Drosophila melanogaster: one gene and its partner. The protein of the gene in region 2 purifies or fractionates together with the protein of the main gene of each other region. This does not show direct contact. Each region holds a gene or a part of one and is shown on either strand. Other genes may lie near its edges.

What was found.
Region 1: the proteins of RYa-R (region 2) and RYa fractionate together in Drosophila melanogaster (co-fractionation; one study listed by BioGRID). This does not show direct contact.

Annotation. Positions count from the first base shown.
Region 1 is NT_033778.4:3,645,605-3,648,572, reverse strand, and holds RYa (RYamide), read right to left. Parts: upstream 1,228-2,968; 5' UTR 1,177-1,227; coding exon 847-1,176; 3' UTR 808-846; downstream 1-807. UniProt on the Drosophila melanogaster protein: Neuropeptides RYamide-1 and RYamide-2 are ligands for the G-protein coupled receptor RYa-R. May suppress feeding behavior.
Region 2 is NT_033777.3:26,994,921-27,000,086, reverse strand, and holds the start of RYa-R (RYamide receptor), read right to left. Parts: upstream 3,108-5,166; 5' UTR 2,745-3,107; intron 336-2,744; exon of another isoform or gene 330-335; coding exon of another isoform or gene 296-329; intron 235-295; coding exon of another isoform or gene 1-234. Other genes in the region: CG31077 (uncharacterized protein), read right to left, coding at 1-234, 296-329; TwdlC (TweedleC), read right to left, coding at 3,856-4,802, 5,018-5,153. UniProt on the Drosophila melanogaster protein: Receptor for the neuropeptides RYamide-1 and RYamide-2. The activity of this receptor is mediated by G proteins which activate a phosphatidyl-inositol-calcium second messenger system. RYamide signaling may suppress feeding behavior.

The DNA of each region.
Region 1 (2,968 bases), on a different chromosome or scaffold from region 2:
TTCCGGCCAATGATCGCTAAGATGTCTAAGGAAGGATAGGAAAAGACGCCTTCAAGACCAAAAATCACCGAGATCCCAGCCAGCGACACAGTTAATGCCGTCGTTTTTATTTTATTTTTATACGCATTTAATATATTTCATTTTTTTTAATGAATTTCCCTAGGGGAGTCATAGGTCTGAGGGTATATGTAGTGTAAAGTATATCATTCTGGTAGGGATAACCTTTTATGTTAACGTGGACAGCATTATAGCTGCTGTCGTGAGATGTTGGTATGCCCTTATTTGTCCTTAGTCCTATCGTCCGTTAGTCCCATAGCCCGTTTGTTTGTGTAGATCAATCCTAGCACCCGCATTAAATAAGTGCCGAGCGAGTAGTGACGATGGTAATTACTCCCCTCCCTAAATCTATCAAAAATTGGTAGCCGAAACCAGCGGGTGCTTGATCGCCAAGCTGCATCTGCTCGGGGGAGTAATACAAGTAGTTCGGTACAGGAGATCCAAGCATTATAAAATTCTACAACACACAGGATGTTTGACCTGGTTTCCATATATCATTCAAACAATTCGGGAACTTTCTTTTTATATAAAAAAGAAAAAAAAAAAACATGCAATTTTATTTTTAATAATATTTAAATAGATTTATTTTTCCTGTTTATTTCTTAGCAGTTTTCCTTCGTTGTGATAAAACGCCGAGGGCGTATGTTATAAAATGTTATTATATGTTATATTTAACAAAAAGCATTAGTAATTGGCATTCATGTCAGAGTCGAATGCCATTACAAACTCAGAATATTGGTCAATCAATAACTGGCGGTCTCTACATTGAAATTTCTTTTAATATACTAGTTAAGTATTTCGCATCAGAAAGTGTTTGGTTATAAAGCTTAAAGTTGGAGTTCGTTCTTTATCATTGTTTCGTAATCTTTTTCTGACTATCAGCTTATTTATTTCCCTCGAAAGACATAAATATTTGCCGCTTCGTTTACCGTACCGAGAGCCAAGAAAGAAATGCTCGTTTCGAGGTACGATGAAAATGCGTCTGGATTTTAAACTTTCATCATATGTAGTACTTCGTCCATAGCGACTAGCAACAAAAAAAACTGGGCGTTTTTGAATTCCTAGAATGAAATAGAACAAAAACTTTAAATGTAATAATTTGTTTACACATTCATTCATTATTATTATATATACTTAAAAATTCAGACAATAATAACAAGGGGACGAAGATAGAAAAAAGAGATAATGTTCAAAGTAAACCAATACTGTTTAAATTAAATGACGATCATTTGTCACTCACTCAGAAATTTCTAGAACTCTAAGGCAATTAAAAAAATTGTATTATTGACTATAACCGAAACCCCAGCATGAGAATAGTGTGTAGTGTTGATAGACACAATTGCTCCACTTCCAGAATATGGAAATGAGTATACAGTCAATATCATCTGCGATCTAAGCAAATATTTGGTAACAGTACCTACACGTAATAAAAGATCGAAAATAATTTCTAAAGCCATTTTTGAAGAACTTATACCCAAGCATGGTAGAATATAAGGATTATTATGACATGGGTACAAATATTTGGTAACAGTACCTACACGTAATAAAAGATCGAAAATAATTTCTAAAGCCATTTTTGAAGAACTTATACCCAAGCATGGTAGAATATAAGGATTATTACAGACATGGGTACTAAAAATAAAAAAAAAAACAAAGTTATTTACGACCTGTGCATTATATAAAAAAACAAGAGAGAATGCCATACCCGTGTAATTGAGAACGCATAGTGAATAGATATTATAAAATAGATATAACAATATAATAAATAAGATATATATTATATATAATTTGTGCGGTTTTAGCAAAAAAATTTGTTTTTGGCAAATCGATAGAAATATACGAGACTAATTAAATAATGACAGTATCACTTCAACCTCCGAAGAGATAAGTCGTGCCACTCAGTTTAAAGCCTCGCTTCGCGTAAGCCCAAAACCCTTATCAGCAAAATCTTGATAAACAAATATCAACCACAAAGAGAAAATAAAAAACACAACAATAAAAACAACAAGACCTCCAACCCGGGATCAAGCCCTTAACCAACAATTATGACAGGCCCACCAAACATTTAGAAAATTACCCCAAAATAATAACAATTCCAATTAAGAGAACCTAAATTTACTATTATTAAAGGGAAAGACAACAACTCTTTCGAAAGAGCATCACCTAAAAACCAAAAAAAAAAAATTGGTGAAAATAAAACATTAAACTTCTCTAAGAAAGTTATTTATTGTAACGACCTTAAACACATCGACGAAGACACAATTCTACAAGAACTAAAACCACAAAAAGTAACTGAAGCTAAAAAAATAATGAAACGGCAAAACCCCAACTCTAACTCTGACACCAACAACAGCACTATAGTTGAAACTGTATTAATAATTATAACCTCTGAGTCGCATAAGCTCCCTGAGATAGTACAAATCGGTTACGAAACAGTCCGAGTACGAGACTATATCCCACTCCCACTTCGATGCAAAAATGCCTCCGCTTCGGTCATCCAACACCCATATGAAAATGTGAAAAAACTTGCATTAGTTTCTCAGAAACAAAACACACAAGCGACGGAGAGAAATGCACAAACAAAAAAAACTGCTTAAATTGCCGAAACAACCCAGAACTTGACCATCAACACAGCCCAATTGACCGCAAATGCCCTACGTTCATAAAAATCCAAGAACTAACAGCTATTAAAACCACACAAAAAGTTGACCATAAAACTGCCCAACGCATTTATTTTGAACGTCACGGTTTCCAACCGAAAGACACCTATGCCAAAACACTTACAAACGGCTCAGCCCAGAGGACAACAAACACTCAATCACCTAATATTCACATAAATGCAACCCAATCGCATCACCAAAATCCGCACTACACACCCACATCAGCAGCACAGAACACTTCATCTAAGACA
Region 2 (5,166 bases):
TCCGCGAAGTAGGGCATACACCAAACTCGTCCACCACACAGATTTCATTACTAGCTTCAAAATAACTTCCATTGGCACAATTTAGGTGCACAGTTTCATCGTCGATACACTGAAAGTAGCTGGCGCAGTCATCAATGTCAGCAGCTACTGAACCCTCCGTACATTTCACAGAGTCCTTAATAATGGATCCAAAAGATGGACGCATCAGACATATCCATGCCGAAATACAAAACACTAAATTGGGAAATATTCGTGAGCTCCTTTTAAATAATTTTTCCTTTGACGGGGGTCTCACCTTCGTAATACATCCGTCCTAGTTGCAACTCCATTTTCTTATATTCCTACAATGAGAACTGTTCTATGCAATTCCCGCTTTTATATTGCAGCTCCATTAGCACTTTTGTAACTATTGATAAGAGTAAAGACTTTATCTCAGAGAACTTACATATGTTCTTTTATAAGTGGCAAATAGAAAATATATGAGAAAAACCACTGGCAAGTGACTCAGCAATAGTATTATTTTTAGAGCTTAAATAATCATCGGCAAACAACATTGTAGCCATGTAAGGCTGCAATAAAAGGGACAACTTAAAAGGGTTTATCCCAAGACAGACCGAATTACAATAATGCTTACATCAAAGAATAACCTGTGTTACCCTCGGTTGAATTCACACATTGAGCCAAGTGATTTGCATATTTCTATCAGTTAGTTTAACCCCTTTTTCAAGCGGACACTCCCAACTAAATTTCCGCACATCCCGATGACGAAAACTATTGAATTTACATAAGAAAAGAGCCCTGCATCATTTGTTGCTTTTTGAAAGAGGTTAAATGGAGCCCTTAAGCCCAAAAATCGTTCATTCTCCGAAAATATTGTATTTATTAAAACAAAGTTTGGTATGATTAAATTCTCATAAAATTTTCAATGGGTCACACTTTTGATAGCCTCTTTGGAAAAAGTGACAGCAAGCAAAGAAAATGTCTTTTTCCTAGTTCAAATTAATTGCATTTTATTGGAACGTTAACTTATCCGGAAAAATCACAGATCCCAACTTTCATTGCATTCCTCTTTGCATTGAAAAGGCAACGATGACTTGAAACTTTTTGGCAGTCAAACAAATTCCTTTGCTCAGCCGAGGGTAAACTTCTGGCAAAAGAATTATCAATATTAAAAGCCGGGTTGACCAAGTGCATCTTGATTGTTTATTCAGAAAGCCGTTTTAGATAACCTCACACACTTATTATCCCTTCTGAACTAGAATTTTCACGTTTTTACACACCGTAAACTTTTTAAAAGTATCGCCGCTGTGTTTGTGCATATTTTCAGTGTAAACAAATTGTCCTTGTTATTGTCATTTTTTTTCTTTTGTTATCTTACTATATTTTAAGTGCTTTAATGAAAAAACAATTCCTAGGAAATAAAACAGACATGAAAACGTCACCGAAAACATATGATGCAGCCACTCGAGAAGATTGCTTCCTCATTTTACTTTGCTGAAAATGTTTTCAATTGTTTGCAACCAAACATTTTTCTCTGCTATTAGTAATATATACTGCACACTTAATATCTTAACTATCTAATCAAACGGCATATGTCATGCGACAATGTTTTACAACGAATTGTTTAGTTATTTACTTATGAACTGTTTGCACTGTGTGTTATTTGCTAAAAGCTGTTTACTTACAAAATCAAATACCAATTGATGGTATCAATTCAAGACAAAAGCAAAATGTCTTGTTTCCTAACTGACCAAATATTTATGGAAATAAATACTTTTAAATTATTGTAGTTCTTTTAATTTTTTAATCGCTCCCTTTTATCTAAAATCTCACTGATTAATCCAGTTACAATAATTTTGCTGGCGTTAATTTGAGAACACTATAAACGAATTAAACCGAATTAATAAACCAGAATCGCAACATGGCGGCAAACAAACAGTAAAAACCATGGCATATTGCGTTAACCGAACGACAACAGCTAAAACAAATGCTAAATATAAGCGAATCGGTAAATAAGATAAAAAAGGCTAAAGCCGTATAACCGTTTAAGTACAACACGAGTTCACTAAGGCTGCAATGCCTTGAAGAAGCCCCCAATAAAATGAGAGAATTTAATAACAATATATGTATCACGTGCAACAATGGCAGCGCACAAGGACAAAGTTGGTGAAAGGACAAAGACCTAAAAACTGCTCCAATTTCGGATCATCCTGCATAATTTACAATTAGCCCGGCCAGGCATGGTTGTCAACGAAAGCAAAATGGATGGAAAACTTAGGAGATAAGACCTGCTTAAGTCCATTTCATGCAACACATTCAACGACACCATGGACAACGTTGCGTATGTGTTATGTTATTTATGTCCAAGTAAACTTGTGCAGCTGCAACACAAGAAACTGCTGATTGATGATGCTGCCGGAAAGGCATAAGGATAATGCAATTCAAATTTGTTGAGAAATTTCATTTTTATCAGTTTTTGAGTTAAAGTGACTGGCTCGTGTCCTGATAAATCTAATTAGGCACATCAGCCAGGTGTTACCAAAATATATTGACTATAACAGGAATGTTGGTCTAAAACTCGTCCGTGAAATATAGTCATGTGTCGGAAGCTAATCCCCACCAGAACCGAACCAGCGACCAGATGTGTGAAACACAGCCAAATGCTAACAAGCGGAAACAACAAGCCATTTGCCGGCGGAGAGGACAAGCTGATTAGCAGGTAAACAAAGCTCATTACAACTCACCTGGTGCAGCGAGGCACTGAGATTGGACTGGAGCTACCCTCGAGGGGATTGCACGTCGTCGAGACTGCCAATGTCAATGCCAATGCCAGATGTAATGACCTGAAACAATGGCCCACAATTTCACTTGCAATCACTCACTTTTCGTATTGCGTATACGCACTGTTGGACGCGTGATTAAAGTCGCAATTCATTAATTGTTTACCGTTTACCGATAGTGTTTTCGCTGCTTATGACCACTCGCTAAATTGAATGGACCGAGTGTTTTCAATGGGCTTATAAGTTTGAATACGTTGAATACGCTAACCAGACGGAGACGACCGACATAAAGTGAAGGAACACGCCCACCTACGATGCGACTCGCGCGAGCACAGAAAGCGAACTGAGTGTGCAGCCGGATTTTTCATCCGGACTGACTGATCAAACGGCCACGAAACTCGGGCACGAACCCGAAAGGCAGTTCCTCGTACTCCTTTTCCCGGCTTTTCCATCCACATGTTGCAACATAGCTCTGCGCAGGCAGCAACTGTTGCTTTTGGCGGGAAGTCTCAGCAACATGTTGCTCCGGCCTCTTCCCTCTAAGTGCTTTGCCATTTTGGCCATTACTTTACGATTTTTCTATGAGCACAGCAATGAGGAAAGCCGTCGAAATTGGGCCTACAGCCGAAATCAACAAAACGTAACGCAATTAAGCAGGCTGTAAATTTGCCAAGGTCACGACTTCACACAGGGTCAATTATCATATTAGGCGGCATGAGCCATCATTAAATCATTGAAATGCGAAATCCATTGTTGTTCCACTGTGTTTTATCCGAATTAACTGGACCATTTACTAAGCTTAAAGAAAGTGTATAAAACTTTTGAGGAATATTCCACACTAAAAGGCCATTTAGTTTTTTTTTTATAAATTTGATATTTATTATCTACTCTTTATTAAAACAAATGTAACAAGTTATACAAACGAACAAACAACGAGATGTGCATGTGGGGAGGTTTGGCACGTGTGCATGTGTGAATTGGGAACAGGGGATTGGGAAGAGGTGCATCCAATGGACATTAGACTATGACAAACTGTGAAATTGGCTAAGGCATCACCATCTCAAAGCAGCGGGCTTCACTTCAGCTTCTTAAGGAAGTAGCGGTTGGGAGGACCGTAGCTGGTGGCAGGCACATGGGAAGGAGCCAGTCGCTGCTCGGGCTGTTCCTCCACCACGATGGGCGCCATTGAGGGCTCCTCAATGGCCAGGGCGGCGGGAGCGGTGGCAGGGGGCAGATACTGGTTGGCAGGAGCGGACAAGGTGGTCTGAACCTCCTCACCAGTATAGGCAGCTGCAGTGGGTGGTCCGTAGACCGCGGAGGGAATGGCTGGCTGCTCTACTTCCGGCTCGGGAGCAGGAGCCAGGGTGGTGGGTGGCAGGACATCGGCGACCTCAGCCAATGGAGCGAAATCCTCGGCGGTGGCCTGACGGGGCTCCATCTCTGCAGGTGGGGGTCCATAGACGGGGGCCTCGTCCTTCTTGGTCTTGTACTTGATGAAGTAAACCTCTGGCTTCGATGGCTTGGTGGGTGGTGGCGTCGGGATCACGATATCTTGCTCCTGCTCGGGCTTCTTGTGCAGCACATAGATCAGAGTCTTCTCCTCATTCTGGGGTGGTGGTGGCACAACTGGCTGACGGATAGCCGGAGCAGATGGTGCCTTGATGAACACGATCTTGTAGTGCTTCTGCTTGGGTCCCTGCTGGTGGTGAACTCGGGTCTGGATGGCATCCTCCTCCTCGAAGTCCTTTGGCGGCACATGGACGTAGATGTGCTTGTGCACCTTGGTCTCCTGGGGGCCATTGTTGTAGCCACTGGCATGCTGCACTCCGGACAGGCGGTGGGCCATGTTGTAGCTGTCATCGTAGGCATTCAGGGGCTCAGCGGCGGCGGCAGTGGGAGCCACTTGCTCGATGGCATCCAGATGCATTTGGGGTGGCAAGTAGGTCTGCTGGGGCGGTGCAAAGTTGGCAAACGACTGCTCCTGGGGCAGAGGCTGGTAAATCTGCGGGGGAACGGGGTGAGCTGTCCAAAAAGAAAGATTAATAAGATTAAGATAAATATATGGAGTTAATATATCTACATTTGCTGAATTATATTACTATAATCAATGTTTAATCTAATCTTTAATAGTTGTCATGCTCATAAGACTTTAGCAAAAATCTGTGTCACATAAATAGCTTTAATCTTTTTCGCTTTAATTTCCTATAATGTTTCTATTTCATCCTCCGCCCACTTACCATTGAGTGGCAAAGCCCGCTGGCTCTGCTGCTGAGGCAATCCGTGGTAGGAGTACGGGGATGGGGGCTCAGGACGACCCAAAGTGGTGGCCACCAGGGAGGCCACGCACACAACGAACAGCGAGGAGACACGCATTTTGCTTCTGGTA